Linked DNA regions of Tamandua tetradactyla. The protein of the gene in region 2 purifies or fractionates together with the protein of the main gene of each other region. This does not show direct contact. Links are inferred from orthologs where the notes say so. Each region holds a gene or a part of one and is shown on either strand. Other genes may lie near its edges. The genes, in order: RIC8A and GNAI3.

Region 1 (8,302 bases), on a different chromosome or scaffold from region 2:
TACTTGGTAGAAAAAGATACGGAAAATCCTAAAGGCTAGCTGCCCTGACCCACCCAGCACCCAGCCCAACAGGGTCCATACTGCTGAGGGCAGGGACCGGGGGCCGATGTGAGGGGAGGCCACACACCTGGCTTTGGCTTCCTTGTACTCCTCTGTGTCCGTGTCCTCGTCCTCTGAGTACTGGCCCCTGTCCCGGCCCCCTGCCATAAGACCCCGGGCCGCCAGCAGTCCGGCAGCGTTCCCGAAGCCAGTGTACTTGATGAAGCGGGGCACTGGGGGAGGGTGGGGTCAGTGTCCCGACATGGTTCGGGTGGGCTGGGGTGGGGTTTCCAGTCTGGGCAGTAGGGGGGAGATGGGCACATCGACACTGCTCACCTACCCGTCACCCCCTCCCCAACCAGGGCTGGGGGACCCCCACTCACCACTCTCGGAACACAGGACAAAGAGGAACTCAGCTGCCACCCTCTTGACATCTGTGTCCAGGTGAGTCATGAGGCGGACAAGCTTGTTCCGTAGCAGCTCACCCACCTCGGGCCGGGCCCTCACGTCCCGCAGTGGGGGCAGCACCTGGTAGGCAGCCACCCCTCAGTTCCTGGGGTCCTCAGTCCCCATTCCACGTCCCCCGGAAGGCTGGCCTTAACCCGCCCTGTACCTGGGCTTTCAGGAACTTCCTGACGGGGCGGTGCATGCGGGCACACTCCGTCAACACGCTCAGCACGGGCGCCACGCCCTCCTTCAGCCTCTGTGTCTGCAGAGGAATCACCATCACCTGGCAGCCGCCCAGCCCTGCCCCTCCCAGCACGCAGCTGCCGTTAGTGAGATGAGGGGCCGAGAGCAGGTGGCTGTGATCCCCAGGGACACGCGGATGCACCTCTCGGCCAGACACTAACTACTCTGCTGCCCAAAGGATCTGCATTGCCCTTCATGTGGATTTTTAATCTTTTATGAAAACATCTATGTTCCTGATTTTTCTCATTTTTTTAAAGTAATGTCTTAGTTGATTTCAAACAGTCATTTAAATGCTTTATTTATAAATAGAAAACAGGAAGAAGGCAGTTCCTGAGATGTTTCAGACCGAGGAAGAGCTTTTCCACTCGCCCCTTGGCCAGGGGTGCCTCAGAGCTATGGGCTTTGTTGACAGACAGCAAAACTCCCTTTCCTCCCAGTACCTCCAGTCACTTCTCTGGCCACAAACCAGCAGCCGTAGCAGCAAGGACAAAGGGCACCTGTTCCAGTGCCATGTGCCATGCAGGGGGTGGGATGAGGATGTGCCCATCCTCATCTGCAGCAGGGACTCGACCTGTCAGGCCTGCCCAGAGATTCCTGTGGTTCCAGGGATACTGGGGAGAGGTGGGAGACGGCAGCCAAGGACACTGATGTTTGTAAGTAGGAGCCATGGATGGGTTAGCTGCCTGTACACAGCGAATCTACAAGTCTGAGGAACTCAAGCAGGGACTGGGGCCTTCCCAGGAGCTCCCAAGGTATCGCCCCAAAGGTCTAAAGCACAAGTACGAGTACTCGTGAGACTCTGAAAACAGGCTGTTTTGCCATCTGCATCCTTGCAGTCATCAGAACAGAAGGCTTCAAGAGGAAGGGTGTGCAAGCTTTGCGGGGAGGACCACGACGGAGCCGCGGCACAGAAAGGCCAGGGTCCCGCGGTCGCCTACCCACCTGGTCCAGGCGCTTCTCCAGGAAGCCCAGGAGCACACGAACCACATCCATGTTCACTCCCATGAACTCGAGGGAGCCCTCGTGCAGCCCCGGGGGGAGCAGGACGTCCAGACACTTGAGAGGCAGATTCCCCAGGAGATTGACTGTGTGGCTGCAGACCGGGGTGCAGGTGAGGGTGGGCAGGTGCCTGCCCTGCTGGGCCACATGCGATGTGAGCCAGTGTCAGGGGGCCAGAGGGCAGCACCAGCCAGGTCCCCTGTTCCTGCTAAGCAGGAGAAGCCCTGCCTGTCCCACCCCTCTGTCTGGGCTGGCTGCCTCACGCCATGGACATTCTCTGGGAAGTAGGTCATGGAGAATGGCGGCAAGTGACAATCTTGATCTGCTGACACCAAGGTCCAGGCTGGCATGCCCTTCTGCCAGACTGACAGCTTTTGGTCTTGGGTGTTATGAATAACTTTGCTAGTCCCATCAGAGGAGCGAACTCAGACTCCAAGAAGGGAAATGGGGCTCCCAGGTGGTTCTTATTTATACCCAAGACTGAGAAGCACCCCAATCCCACAACAGGCCCCCTCCCAGCCAGACATGGCCAAGTACAGAGCTCCCCCCACCCCACACACAGCTCCCAGCCCAGAGCCTTGCCCTCACCCCTGGAACTCCTCAGTCCGGTCTCCAGCAGCAGCCACCATCACACAGCGCCGCAGAAGGGTGCCCAGGTGTCGGTAAAGGGCAGTGTCCTGACCAGAGAGAAGAGCAGATCCCTGAAGGCGGCTGCTGCCAGCTGAAGGCATGCTCTACCACCCTGCCCCTCCTCCAACACAAGGCTGCAGGTCCAGAGAACCAGTGGCTCTGACTGCCACACAGCTGCCTTTGTACTCTCCTAAACGACCCTGCTGGGTGGTGAGGCTGACCGACCAGTGCCATTTTCCTGAAGACTCTGTGGCTGCAGATGTCCACACCCACGGTTCTGCAGTGGCTGTTTCCTTCAGCCTGCCATCACACCACACACCCTGTGGCACCTGGACCTCCAGACCCAGGAACAGCTATCTCCCTCAGATGCCTCTCTCCTGGGAGGGAGCCCCTCCTTGGCCTCCCCTAACCTCTCTATGCCTGACGCCAGATCCGTTTAGGTTCCTGGCATGTCGCGGGGCCTAGGATTCGGGCCTCACCTGGTCTGCCTCCCTCTTGGTGGTGTCAAAGGTGATGTTGAAAAGCACCTTGAGGACCTCCATGGCCCGCTCAGTCTCCTGGTGCGGGAGGCACTCAGGGGCGCAGTCTTCGGGGTCTGCCCCGAGGGTCAGCTCCAGCGTGTCAGTCAGCAGGCGCACCCCCTGTAGCTCCTCAAACAGCTGCTGGCGCACGTCGGTGCGCAGAGCCGTGAGCAGGAAGAGGAGCCGCAGGTCAAAGAACTGGACATCATGTGGGACGCTCCTCTCCCGGGAGAGCCGCACGCGCTCGGCGAGCCTCACCACCACGCCGGCCTCGGCTGCCAGCTGCTGCGCCAAGGGGCTGCTGAGCACAAGGTTGCACAGGCACTTGAGGGACTCCAGCACGACGTCCATATCCGCACCCGGGGCCTTGAGGGCGGAGCCCTCGGGGGCTGAGATGCCGGCATGGCGGGCCAGGGCCTGCAGGCTCTGGCGGCTGGTGAACCGGTCCAGGCAGCTGCGGTCCCGGGACAAGATGCGGACACTCTGCAGCCAGGTGACGCGGTGGGAGGGCGGCAAGCCCTGCTCCAGGGCCGAGACGAGCAGCTCCGCCAGTTTCTGTGAGCAGATGAAAGGGCGGCTGCCCGGAGCCCCAACACCCTCCCCACGGCGCCTCCTAGGACCCCCGGCCCCTGCCCTTTACCGCTGCCACCCACCTTCCTGTCGTCCAGCTGAGCCTCGTCGAACGTGAAGCTCTGGGAGTTCTGCAAAGACACCGGGAGGGTTCTCGGAGCGCAGACCCCGGACAGGGCGGGGCCGCGCACTGGGGGGGCTGCCTGACCCAGGCGGGGCCTGCACGCGCCCCGCCGCGCACCTGTCCCCGCCGCGTGCACCCCGGGCACCGTCCCGCGCCCCTCGCCGCCCCATGCACGTCCCACGTCCGCCGCCTGCGCTCACCTCCCGGTTGTAGGTCCGCAGAGCCTGCACGATCACGTCCTCCTCCCCCGTCTCCACGGCGTCGGCAACCGCCCGGGGCTCCATGGCGCCCCCAGGACGCCCGAAGGCTCCGGCCGCGAGCCAGGGGGGACGTCGCGCCGCGGCGGGGCCCAAGTCCAGCCCGAGTCCAGCCCGCGCGCGGCCCCGCCCTGCCTCGGGCAGCCCGCGTCCGGCGCGCGGGGGAGGCCGGGACGGGGCGGGGCGGGGCCGGCACGCGCGGGGGGCGGGGCGAGGCCGCGCGCCGCTTAAGGTGCGCGGTTTAAGGTGGACCCGGAACGGCGCTGGCGTTGAAGCCCCGACTCCGGGACCCGCCGGCTTGGGGCCCAAGTCACCCCTTGGCCAAACCGTGACCCCTCCCTCGTGCGCTTCTTGGGCCGGAATTTCAAAAGGAGAACTCTCCCGATCCCCCCATCTTTATCCACAGAATGAGTGGGATGGAGGAGGAAAGCGCCAGCGGAGAGGGCTTTGCGGTCTCAGAGCCTTTGGTTTACTAAACCGGCGTCGTGGAGCGCCTGCTGCAGGCGAGGCGCTGGGGACGCGGGTCAGGAAGACCCTGCCGTCCTGGAGCTGGTTCCAGAGGGGAAGACGGACAAGGAAAGACAGACAAGACGACTCTGCGTGGTCCTAAGCGTTGTGGTTTTAAAAACAACAGGCTGCTGTTGTCCCCAATTGCGGGGGGTCGGCAGAAGGCTCTAGGGAAGTGCTACTTCTGATGAGACCTGATGCTCACGATAGGGGACCGTGAAAAGACTTGGGGGAGGCCACTCCAGGCAGAAGGAACGGCTCGGTTGGCAGAGGTCGGGGGTGAACGCAGGGCCGGAGTAAGTGCAGCGACTTCCGAGCTGTGAAACCCTGAAACGCGCTCTAGCTCAGAGTTCGTGTCCTCTTCTGTAAAGCAGAGGGGAAAGTGTCCACTTCAAGGGGTTGCACTGAGGATTACAGGCACTCGTAACTGACACACAGAAGATACCTCGTAGCGGTGAGTAATTCATAAATACAAACTACTCACCCACCTCTCTGTTCTTTTATCACACATCTGTCATGCCAGGCCCTTGGTACCAGGATTCAAAAGCAGGAAACACTGGTTCCTACTGTCTCCGCTGCCCCTTCCCCAAACCCTTTTCCTTGGTTCACTGTTACTTATCTGCATTTTATTTTTAAAGCACTTATTCAGGTTTACTTGTTCCAGGCAATGGTCTAAGTTCAAACGAGGAAACCGCCTTACAGACTCGGGAACTAAAATGCACGAAGGTTAAATTCCCCAGGTCACTCGAGGCCGAGTGGGGCGGCGAACTCGTGCGCCAACACCGCGCCCCGGCAAAGGCGCTGGCGCTCCTCCCACTTCTTAGGACCTAACCTCGCCTGAATAACCGAGAGAAAAGACATTTCGACGTTAAAGCGAATGGCGCAAGGGCTCCCAAGTGCGGGGTCCAGGTCGTCCCGGGTCCACTGACAATGAAACAAACGTCGGACTCCTCAGTCCCTCCGCGCCCGCGGCGGCAGAAGGGGCGGGGCCGGAAGTCCCTCCCCGTGACCCTGCGACGCCGTGACCCCGCGACCCCGCGCCACGTCCTCGGCGGCGCTGGACGCGATGGCGGACTGGGCTCGGGGTGAGCGCGGGGTGGGCCGGGGGTCCGGGGGACGGGACGGGCCGGGGTTGGATCCGACCCCGGGCGCCCGTCGGCGGGAGGGGACAGCCCCCAGTCAGCGCCCCGCCGAGGATACGTGGCTGCGTCCCCCCTCGCCGCCGGAGGCCTGGGAGGGTCCGGCCGGGTGCCGCTCCCGCTCTCCTGGGCTGTCGTGACGACTGAAGGAGGGAACGGACGCGAAGGCGTTGGCGGGGTGCGTGGCACAATGCCTGGCACAACGGGGCGCCTTTCCGCAGCCGCCCCTTCCTTCCGGGTCTGTACGAGTCAGAGATTCCTAAGGCCTCGGACTCTCAGGGTATCGGCCCCGTGGAGGGCGAGTCTCACCCACCGAATGTGATACATTCACGCCACTGGTCCAGTTCGGGTGTGCAGCGGGGAATGGGGTTGGCCGGAGTTACCGGGCGGGTCTCGCACCGTGCCCTCGTTGTTCTGGGAGGTGCTGTGGGGACATAGGTGAGCAAACCTAGGCCCTGCCCTCGGGGCTGGACCCTGCCCACATTTTGGTTAGGGAACTTTGCTCGCTTCCTTTTCTCCGTATAGAAGGGCCTCCCCGATGTCCTGCCCTTGGTTATCGGTTACTTTTTCAGGACCAGGTCACAGGTTACGCCCACACAGCCCTCGCGGCTGTCCTCCTTGAGCTAGTGCTCTTCCCTGGGCCCTCCCCAGGACAGGCGGGAGGTACATGCATGGTAACCTTGCTGCAGGCAGGTACTGCGTCTCACTGCCTCCCTGGGATTAGTCCTGTCTGGCTTGGCGTGCCGGATGGGCTGAACCTGTTGGGGTACACCCCAGAGGGCAAGCCACACATCCTGCATGTGTACAGGGGACATGCTCCCACGTGGTTGTTTACTGTTGCACAAACACAAGGGCCACAAACCTGTCCCTGCCCAGCGGGTTACAGGTGGAGACCCAGCCCCCACCCCTGCCCAGACTTCAGACTGAGGCAGATGGGGTTGAGGCCACAAAGGGCCAACTTTCTGTGGTCTGAGGGTCAGGGATTGTGCTCATGGGTGGATGCACAACTTCAGCCTGTCTCTACAGCTCAGAGCCCCGGTGTCGTGGAGGAGATTCTGGACCGGGACAACAAGCGGATGGCCGACAACCTGGCCTCCAAGGTCACCAGGCTCAAATCGGTCTGTGGCGGTCTCCTTTCTCTTGGGAGCAGGACCCCCAGGAGGGTGCAGCTTGGGGGGCTCCAGGCTGCTTTCCATTCTCCTTGCTGGCTACTTGAGGCCTGGGGGGCATTTTCTGACCTTCGTGTTTGGTGAGGGTGGCGTTTGTTCTGGCTGGTCCTGGGGGAGGAAGGGTGCTGCCCCATGTCTGGCCTGGCCTGAACCTGCCCTCTCTGTGCCCTGGCCAGCTTGCCCTGGACATTGATAGGGATGCAGAAGACCAGAACCGGTACCTGGATGGCATGGTAAGAGCCTTTGAAGCTCTAGGGTGCCCTGCTGAGCTTGGGCCCACACCATCTGGGGTCGGGCACTGTTCTTGGGCACCAGCAGAGGTGGGTGTGGAGGTGCCAGCGCGTGTAACAGTACTGGGATTCCTCCCTCAGGACTCAGATTTCATGAGCATGACGGGTCTGCTCACTGGGAGTGTGAAGCGCTTCTCCACAATGGCACGGTCTGGGCGAGACAACCGGAAGCTTCTGTGCAGTGTGGCTGTGGCCCTGATTGTGGCCTTCTTCATCCTCTCCTACCTGTTGTCCAGGGCGCGGACGTGAGCGAGCGGGGGTGGGCGAGCTGCCACTGCGGGTGCTGGGGCCAGCCAGGGCCACCCTGTGCCCCACCTGGGCTCCTGGGCTCCGGAGCACTTCCCTACAACATTCCTTTGAATTTACGATTGTGGGTCAGAGGTCTTCTTCCTGTTCTGGACATGAGCATCTGTTGGCTGGTCCCATCCACGGAAGGGACACTTTCCCTGGGGAAAGGAGGCCCAGCGTCCTCCAGTCCCTGGTTGGAGCCTGAAGACACATAGCACTGTGCTGGCAGCCCCTCTCCCAGCCCTCAGGCGTCTCAAGGTTCCTCTACCGTTTCCTCTGAGCAAGGCCATGTGTGTGATTTGTGCAGCATGAGGCTGGCATGAAAAGTGACTCTACCTTCAAACCTGAAACAGCGCTATCTCTTTGGCCCACCCTCTCCAACAGCAGCTGCTCTTGGCCAAGGCTGCCTGGGCAAGGTCACACCAATGCAGGCCAGCTCCTCCCCCAGTACCCTCTGTGCTCACGCTCATTTCCCTCCTTGGGGTAGACAGAGGGCAGCTGGAGCCAAACCCTGGGGCCTGTGGATACAGAGGCTCTGAGCCCTAAGCGCTTCTGGGCTTGTTCAGAGCAGGAATTCACACTCAGGGTGTGCATTTACCCAGCCTTGCAGATGGGTTCCACGAGACCAGACCTCCAGGAGTGGCTGAGTATGGGTGAGGCCTTCCACCTGCTTTTCACAGGACACTGCTGCCTCTGTCACCTGTAGGGGTTGCCAGCCATGTGTGGTTAACTTATTCTTCCACCAAACCCTGCCCTTCCTCCCACTGTGAGGGACCCTTCCTCCTGAGTGCATGTATCTCTGAGCCACCGCCCTCCCTGGGCCCTCATTTCCCACTGCGTACTCTCTCCACCATCACACCAACCCTGGACAGGTCAGACCCAATGCCTTTAAGACCAAGCCATTGAGCTTGGGACCCTCCCCTGTCCTATCTGATTCATCTTCTGCCTTCCTGGCCACTCTGTGAGGCCCTGACTCACAGTTCACCCACTTGCAAGGCCTCTTTCTGAGTTTGTCCAGCTTAGAAGGCTTTGTCTCTGAAACCTAAACCGGCTGTCTGCCATAGCCTGCTGCAGTCAGC
Region 2 (9,270 bases):
GGGCCTGGGCTCGCCATCCCAGGGTCGCTGGACTAGGATGGGGGATGGGGCCGTGACAGGAGGCGGCCTGGGTGTCCTCTTTCGGCCCCATGGAGTCCTCACCCATCCCTCAGTCATCAGGGAACTCTTCCATTTTGGGCAGGGCCCCTCAAACCCCAGGCCCCTCTACTGCCAGCGGGGTCCCGGAGGTGGGGCTGCGGGACGTGGCTTCGGAGTCTGTGGCCCTCTTCTTCATGCTCCTGCTGGACCTGACCGCCGTGGCTGGCAACGCTGCCGTGATGGCTGTCATCGCCAAGACGCCTGCCCTCCGGAAATTCGTCTTCGTCTTTCACCTCTGCCTGGTGGACCTGCTGGCCGCCCTGACACTCATGCCCCTGGCCATGCTCTCCAGCTCCACCCTCTTTGACCACGCCCTCTTCGGGGAGGTCACCTGCCGCCTCTACCTGTTCCTGAGCGTGTGCTTTGTCAGCCTGGCCATCCTCTCTGTGTCGGCCATCAACGTGGAGCGCTACTATTACGTGGTCCACCCCATGCGCTACGAGGTGCGCATGACGCTGGGGCTGGTGGCCTCCGTGCTGGTGGGTGTGTGGGTGAAGGCCTTAGCCATGGCGTCCGTGCCTGTGTTGGGAAGGGTCTCCCGAGAGGAAGGAGCTCCCGGCGACCCCCCAGGCTGCTCGCTCCAATGGAGCCACAGTGCCTACTGCCAGCTTTTCGTGGTGGTCTTCGCTGTCCTTTACTTCTTGCTGCCCCTGCTCCTCATGCTTGTGGTCTACTGCAGCATGTTCCGGGTGGCTCGCGTGGCTGCCATGCAGCATGGGCCCCTGCCCACGTGGATGGAGACGCCCCGGCAACGCTCGGAATCGCTCAGCAGCCGCTCCACCATGGTCACCAGTTCTGGGGCCCCCCAGACCACCCCACACCGGACGTTTGGGGGCGGGAAGGCAGCAGTGGTCCTCCTAGCCGTGGGGGGACAGTTCCTGCTCTGCTGGTTGCCCTATTTCTCTTTCCACCTCTATGTCGCCCTGAGTGCTCAGCCCACTTCAGCTGGGCAGGTAGAGAGTATAGTGACCTGGATTGGCTACTTCTGCTTCACTTCCAACCCTTTCTTCTATGGATGTCTCAACCGGCAGATCCGCGGGGAGCTCAGCAAGCAGTTTGTCTGCTTCTTCAAGCCAGCTCCAGAGGAGGAACTGAGACTGCCTAGCCGGGAAGGCTCGATTGAGGAGAACTTCCTGCAGTTCCTTCAGGGGACTGGCTGTCCCACGGAGTCCTGGGTTCCACGACCACTCCCTAGCCCCAAGCAGGAGCCACCTGCTGTCGACTTTCGAATTCCAGGCCAGATAGCTGAGGAGACCTCTGAGTTCCTGGAACAGCAACTCACTAGCGACATCATCATGTCGGACAGCTACCTCCATCCTGCCCCCTCACCCCGGCAGGAATCATGATGGGTTACTGGATGTTTGGAGGGAGATGGGGTTGGGGGTTGGTTATGATTGCGAGGACCACCTTGTGGGATCACCTTTTCCCAGCTGGGAGGGGCCGGGACAGGGTCTCTGAACCCATCTTTTGATGAGAATTTCCTGGGTCAAGAACAGAGTCAACAGGTTGGACATATGACAAAAGTCCTTGGACTTGGCTGAGAGCCTTGATGACTGGGGGAGGGAACCCGGGAGTGGTGAGACACTGATGAGAGAAAAGGTCACAAAGGTGAGGTGAAGCCTCTCAACTGGGGAACTTTCCATGCCTCAGGCAGCAGGGAAGCTCTGTAAGGGTAGGATTTGAAGGATATAGGCCAGGTTTGGCCTTATTCTGGGGCCATTCAGAATATTTTATTTTTCAGTGTAATTATCCAGGGCAGTAACTGCACCCAAGCAAAGTAAGAAAATGATCTGTCTTCTCATCTCCTTGGTAGGCTTAACAAGTATTAAATTACAGCCAAGTGTTTCCATTTGAGTTAATAGATGATTTTCTAGTTTTATACCTGATATTTCTTTAAAGTGAGAGAACCAGTTGGATATATTTCTCTCTACCAGTTTTCTGAGTTTTACCAGAAGTAAGGAGAAGGTAGCAATCAGGGTATATGGAGTAGGAAACAGGAAAGCTGACTGCAGCTTCTCTCTTCCGCTCTTCAAGAACAGTCCTTTTGCTCTATTTCCCTGTTTCTCTTCCATGCCTGGAGACCAAGATTGAGGCTTAATCTCAGCAAAGGCAAAAATAAGACAGGGATGGCTTTTTCCCCCCTCATTTCAGAGTCAGAAAGCTGGGGGTAGGGGGACTAACATTTGAATTGCTAAGGTGACTGGGTACAAAGGGACCAGATAATCACCTTGATCAATAATACTGATCACCTTTTCCTTCCAGGAATGACCTCCCTGATCTTTCTCCTCATGGCAGTGACTCCACCTCCAGCCCTCTGGACAATAGGGTACAAGAGACTAAGGTTGGGCATGGGAAAGGTGGGGTTTCCATGGTCCATTAAATTTCTCCCTTTCATTCATCGTGCTCAAAATTAGCTTCATAACAAAAACTTAAATCTCTCTCCAGTATGCAGCTCTGGGTTGGAGACAGGGCACAGGAGTTGGGCTCAGCTTTCCACGGTTTGATTCAGTAGGAACTGTGTTGGTTGGTAGTGGTGGCCAACGCATGGATCAACCAAATTTTCAAGTGAAGGGGAATAACTGCAAACTGGACAGGATGTGGGACTACCTGTCTACCCCATTTCCGTCAATACAGTCAGGTGACACTAAAGAGTCACGGACAGCATGGTGGTGTGTCTGCATTTGAATAACGCCTGACTCAATGTTAATGGGGAAAATGGGATGGTGGGAGTGGGATAGTTTCCCCTTTGAATAGCCAATAAATAATTTTTATTATAAAAGACTATACTGATATCAACATTGACTCTATCAGTTCCACTCAGTGCATAATATTTGGATACCCATATCCCCTGGGACTTACAGAGAGGATGTGTGGTCACTGCCTTCAAGGAGTTCATAGTCTAATTTGATCAGATATATTGTACTTTACAGGGATTTACAGCTGGTAAAGCACTGTAGAAAATATTCAAGAAATAGAGTGGAGAATATATCCAGGGTTCTAACTTTTCAGAGTTGAGTCCATTGCAGCAAAATATCTACACTGAGGCTTACTGCAGATTGTGGAAAGGATGGGGGTTGTAAATGAAAATTCTCTAGTGAAGAAAGTAAAGAAAGGAAACTGAGCAAACCTTCCTTTTCCCCTCTTCACCTAGGAAAATTTCCAGGTTTCTGTCTTCCTACCATTTACTCCTCCAGTTTAGTGCCTACTATATTGAGGAAATCCCTTAGAAAGATAGTATATCCAGGGAGGGGAGTCCTTTGTGATTAAAAACATGTACTTTACTCCCCTCTCTCCTCCATTTTGAGGTAAATTCACACTGAGGAATTTCATTCCTAGATGGTGGGGGGAAACTATTCTTCCTAAAACCCCTGATCAGCTAGTAGACCCTAAGTATTGCCAGCAGGTGGCAGTATGAGTCCAGTGGAAATAGGAAAGGGGCGTATCCTAGGGGTGGTGGTGGGTGGTGTTGGCATTAAACCATTAAACGTCTGGCAGCCATTTTATTAATTTATTTTGCCTTTTCTTTTGGTTTTGCCCTCTAACCTTTCCTTCACATACATCAAAGAAGAAAGTTTTAATTGCAAGGATTTCTCTAGTTCAGACTGAAATTTCCTGACACTGTGATCTCACTAGCGTTTATTATAGTTTGACATATATGGGTTCACTTGCCATTTATTCTTCTCTGTCCAAGGGCATAATGAAAGAGACTCTTCTGTTATGCTGAGAACCTGCCCAACAATTTCAAACATGGTCACTTCCCAGTTTTCTAGTCACCAGAATAACCCGATAAAAATTTAATATGTAATCCTTAGCTCGGAAGCTATTCCTGGACAAAACTTGAACTTTCCAATCATTGAAGAATCAACAGATTGGGGAACCTATCTTGTCAATTCTTTTTGGCTTCCTGGTAGTGTCAGGGTGACTCCCAGTCTTACGTGAAAATTATAGATCCTCTCTTGTCAGATCTTCTCAATTAACGTCATATAGGGGCATGGTAGAAAAGGGGCAAATTTGGAGTCAGATCTAGTACTCACTGTGTGAACATGGGAAAGCTGCTTAATTTTCTCTGAGCCTATTTCCTCATCTGTAAAAATGGGGATAATATTACCTACCTCACAGGGTTGTTGTGAGGATTAAGAGATGAAACATGGAAGCACTAGCCTTACCTGGCATATAGGCACTCAATAAATATTGGTTTTTCTTCCCTTTCCTCTTGCCCTTTTTCCCCAGAAATATTGATTATGAAAAAACTGTCCCTTTCATCCTAAGAGTCAGTCTGGAATGAATGGGAGACTTTTCAAACTTTGAAGAATTGGCATTGATAAGAGTTATGGTGGGTGATGCAGTCTAAGGTGGCTCTCAAGGAATCACTCTAATTAATCAATCACCATATAAACGTTTCTGCTGGGAACCTTAGATCCTAAGGTTTAAATTCTATTAGGGTAATGAAATAATTTTTAATCACAGGCAAAGATTTTGGGATCTACAAAAGAGTCTTCCTCCTGAGAAATTATGGTGAAGACACTGAGGGGGGTATTTGTCAGTGAAAGAAATTTAGGGCATTTTCACACTAGTACTCAGGGTTACCTGTGAAAGGGTATCAGTCTGGGCTTTCACAGGGATTTACTTATCTTCAGGTGACACTTGAGCTGAAAGTCAAGCTTTACTAAAACTTCCCTTTTTGTGTGGTACAACAGGAAATTTTAGGAGTTTTACAGGCCGCAATGGGTGGTTTTGGAGGAGGGGCTGAGGGTGACTAATTTTGGCACAAGTCCTAAGCCCCTAACCCAAGACATCTGTAAACGCTATAATTGGCTTATATTGGGAAGAAGGGCAGCAAGCAAATTTTAAGCAGGAACTACACGCTTAATTTTCAGGTTACAGGGTATCAGTTGGTGATTGCAAATGGCCCTCAGTCAACATAAGAGCTGGGTAATTCCCAAGCCCACAGTGTAAGTAATGGCACAAGGACCACGATACACTTTGAAAGGAGGAGGCAGTGAGTCGAGCAGAGGGCAGAAAGGGATCGCTAACCCCCCCGCACGATTGGTGTTACTGATATCAGATGTGAGGCGTGGCCGGGGCCCAAGCTAGGCAGTTTGTTCCCATCCTATAGAACCTGGCTGAAACGACCCTGGAGGAGGATAGGATCTAAACTTGGGCAGGCCCAGATCTCTACCGCCAGAGAGCAAAGAAGCCTTCCGGTCAGGATCGATAGATTGCACCAGCAAAGCTCTGGGTGAGGGCTAGTCGTTCTTAACCTGGGAATTACACCCCAATCGCCACACCCACCCAGGTCCAAACTCTGCTGTGTGACGTCGGGAGGCCTCTAAGAGCTGGAGAAGCCAAGCCCGGGTTTGTCTATAGTTATGGAAAACAAGCAGCCGAAAAGGGAAAAAGGGACTAAGCTCGGGTGGCGTACAATTGGCTCCACAGGACCTCGCAGCTTCACGAACCACCGCCCCGCGTCGCCTCTATTCCCAGCACTTCCGTTTTCGTTCACCTCTTCTGTTCCCAAGCTAGAGATTTGAAAGGGGACGGCCGCGGGGCGTCTCCGGAAGTGTCGCAAACACCGGATATCCGTTTTCTCCGGGCTCTCCGGGAGCCTACAGAGAGGGCCGCCGCCCAGCAGCAGACGCTGTCTCTGTCGCTCGAACCGCAGTTCCCGCGGTGTGTGAGTGTGTCCGGGCCCTGTCCCCTCTCCCGCCGCCGCCATGGGCTGCACGTTGAGCGCCGAAGACAAGGCGGCGGTGGAGCGGAGCAAGATGATCGACCGCAACTTGCGAGAGGACGGGGAAAAAGCAGCCAAAGAAGTGAAGCTGCTGCTACTTGGTGAGGGTCCCAGGGCGGGGCCGGTGAGGTGGTCGGGAGGGCCTAGACATTTGGGGAGGCCTGAGGCGGGGGCTCACGTCAGGTCAGCGGAAAGTACCCCGATGGGATCTAGAGAGCGCGACGGACTTGGGGCGGGGTGTTGGGGTTGGTGGCTGAGGCCGGGAGGGCGTGATGAAGGGGTGGGGCTTTGGGGTTGTAGGAATTAGGCTGTAGAGGGTGTGACTCCTTGCTGGAATTGCGTTTAGCAAAGAGAATTTGGGAGCGTGGGGCGATAGGATATTTGGACTTTGATAGAAACATGGGACATGCCTAAAGGAAGAGCTGATATTAGGGAAGGTTTTGTATGGGGTTGGTGTATTGAGTGAGGACGCGGTAGAGTATGATGTGTTGGGCTTGTTTAATGGCTTGTGAGTTTTAATGACAGGATAAAGCTGGGAGACTTGAATGATTATTATAAATAGAGAGGCTGGGACACGGTGGTCACACAGGGATCCTATCGTGTTAGAGAGGGAACATTCTGAACTATTTGTAAGGTGGAGGAGCCTTCAGTTATCCAGGAACATGAAGGTAGGTGGTTGAAATGACAAGTTTTCTAGTTTAAAGAAAAAGACCTTGGGTGTTGACGCTATCTTTATACTTTACCCCTTTTTTCTATCATTTGTATTCTTTTAAGGTTTCATACCCCCCCTTTTTTTATAAAGAAGGGTGGATGTTGGTACCAGCTGAAGAATTTAAAGAATGCTTGTGTTTTGACAAAAGAGGTAGAGGGTAAAAGATTACACGTTGAGAGTTGCCGAATAGTTGCTCGGAATAGTGCGCTGGGAATGAAGGAGCTATTTTAGTATAAAATATGGAATTGTACGTTTTCTGTAAAGGTTGTGACAGAGCTCTGTGAACTATTTTTATCTTTTCTGGTCTCTTCAAACCAAAATATTGGCTTTTACTGTTTATGTTACCGGGCATTGGTTTTAAGTGGTTTTTATGTACAGTTGTATGCACTTTACTCAGCATGACTTAGTCTAAAAATTTTTGAGAAACTGGCTTCTAGAGGCTCAATAAATCATATAAGGTACCTTGACGTTAGCTTCCCAAGAAATCAAGCCACATTTCTTCACTATTAGTATTTTCTAGGGATCCGTTAAAGAAGAATAATTAGGAGTAATGATTTCTGTAAGCAGTAGAACAACTTTACTTTTTAAAACATTTGACTTTGGAGCAAAAATAGTTGCTTTAGGGAAAATGCCAAATTTTCTGCCCTGGAGGAGGGAATGCTCCACCATAGCTCTTGTCTTTTTTTGTATTCCAGGATGTGCCTGGTATTCCTGCTTGTCTCTTCTTGTTAACGTATTTGGTTGTTTGTAGGTTGAACAGGCTGTGTTAACAACTTATTTGGACATAGGGGGAAAGTTAGGCACTGGAGCTTGAGCGTCCAGTTTGAATACCCAAACTTTCAGAAAGCATAAATTCTAATTGTTCTAGACTGCCACTATATAATAGATATCATTTGTGGATGAGCACAATCCCTGGCACGTAGTTGATGTTTTTTAAATATTTGCTGTTAACCAGCAAGAGCCAGTTAATGTTGATATTGATCCTGGAGGCCTTTTAAATATTTAATATAAACCACAACACTCAAGGCATTGGCATTTTCTCTATTGATCAGTTGGTTATGAAATTAAAGGTGTATTCTTATCTTCTGTGAGTGTTTTAATTTACATTGATCTTCAGAAATCCTCGCAGGATATTGGCCTATTGTAATGTAGTTATAAACTGTGAGGCATTCTTCCAGATGGCAGGAATTGGCAGGCAGAACTTGGGCGTGCAGAACTTGTTCAAATGTCTAGAAAAATCTTTATTCAGGACTTTATAAATAGTGTATCTAATTAAAAACAAAATCAAACACATGATGACTTAGGGAACTTGTAGAGCAGTGAATAAAAATCAAACTACTAAAACATTTGTTTTGAATTTTTATCAGATTTATTATTTTTTAAGTGTTTTTGTATTCTTGAGCAAGTTCAGATAGCTTGCAGAGAGACGAATGCTCTTGCTTCAACTGTATCATAAGAAACATATGAAATTAAAATGATCTTCCTTGCTATTTCTGTAAGTAGAAGGTACCCGTCATGGTACACAAATAATTCTTTGTCGTAGAATACCTCCTTTGATGTGCGTGCAAGTCATTTTTACTTCATCACTGTGAAACTATAGAACTTAGTTAATTTGAGATCTGTCTACATTACCCTTGTCTCTCCTGGCCCATAATAGGTATTTAGTAAATATTAATTTATTTTCTTCTTTACATAGATGTAGCTTAGCATAGTGCTTAATAACGTGGGTTCTGAAGTCAGACTACTTCAAGTCTTAATTCCCATTTACCAGTTTTAACCTTGGGAAAGTGATTTATTCAGTTTTTTTCTCTCAGTTTCCTCATGGTTAAAACAGAGAAAATCAAGGTTCTTAGATTTGCTATAAGGATTAATTATAAGAATGTAAAGTAGAATACAGCTTGTCAAATAGTACTAGCTCAATGACAATTATTTATTAGTATTTATTAGTATTGTTTGTTAGTATTAAGCCAAAATGAATGTTAGAGATTCTAGATATTAGAGAAATTCAAATAAAGAAACCACTGTGGACAGAATTAGTTAAGGAAGACTTCAGTATTGGCAATTTTTCCTTTGTTATATATCTTTGATGTCTTTAGATGTTTTTGGGAAGCTCTTGATATGTCAAATTAGTGTTCAGTCAGTGTTCTCTTGAAAAGCAAAATTACATTATGCAGTTTCCCAGTCAGTGTGCTTAGAGCATATGATGCCTTACAGATGCACTACTTGCACATTTTTTATAGTGTTGAAATTTCAAATTATTTTTGTAATTTTTCATAATTGTACAACAGTTAAAATGATATTTGATCATTTTTCGTTTAATTCCCTCTGTAAACTTCCTGAATTTGATCATTTGAAAATATTTTATTTAGAAAGTTTGTGCCAAATCAGTATTCAATATCATCTGTAATATTTTGCATTTTATTTTTCGTGTCAGAAGTTCATAGTATAAAGTAAATATTTGTTTTTCACCAAGTCCCTCCATTTTACCCTGGTCTTACCAATACTATAATTTTCGATGTGTGCCATGATAGGACAAAAGTTAGGAAGCACTAGTATGATGGATAAGAGCACAGTCCCCACCTGCGAGGCCCAGAGCAAAGAATTTAACCGCACGGTAGCCCCTCAGAAGTACACCGTGATGGTTCCACAGGAGGCTATGGGTGGGGTTGCCGTATTATCTTGCAACCTTGTTGCTAGATGTATACCTGGAGGAACTGAGAATGGGGAC

What was found.
Region 1: the proteins of GNAI3 (region 2) and RIC8A purify together in Homo sapiens (affinity purification with mass spectrometry; 3 studies listed by BioGRID and IntAct, counting the BioPlex papers as one, with this or other methods). This does not show direct contact. The link is inferred for Tamandua tetradactyla from reciprocal best matches to the Homo sapiens genes GNAI3 and RIC8A.

Annotation. Positions count from the first base shown.
Region 1 is NC_135335.1:33,488-41,789, reverse strand, and holds the start of RIC8A (chaperone Ric-8A), read right to left. Parts: upstream 3,957-8,302; 5' UTR 3,858-3,956; coding exon 3,774-3,857; intron 3,581-3,773; coding exon 3,533-3,580; intron 3,435-3,532; coding exon 2,838-3,434; intron 2,406-2,837; coding exon 2,317-2,405; intron 1,823-2,316; coding exon 1,672-1,822; intron 749-1,671; coding exon 653-748; intron 568-652; coding exon 423-567; intron 273-422; coding exon 128-272; intron 1-127. Other genes in the region: BET1L (BET1-like protein), read left to right, coding at 5,404-5,422, 6,503-6,594, 6,822-6,878, 7,017-7,184.
Region 2 is NC_135337.1:13,327,262-13,336,531, reverse strand, and holds the start of GNAI3 (guanine nucleotide-binding protein G(i) subunit alpha-3), read left to right. Parts: upstream 1-5,665; 5' UTR 5,666-5,813; coding exon 5,814-5,931; intron 5,932-9,270. Other genes in the region: GPR61 (G-protein coupled receptor 61), read left to right, coding at 90-1,445. UniProt on the Homo sapiens protein: Heterotrimeric guanine nucleotide-binding proteins (G proteins) function as transducers downstream of G protein-coupled receptors (GPCRs) in numerous signaling cascades.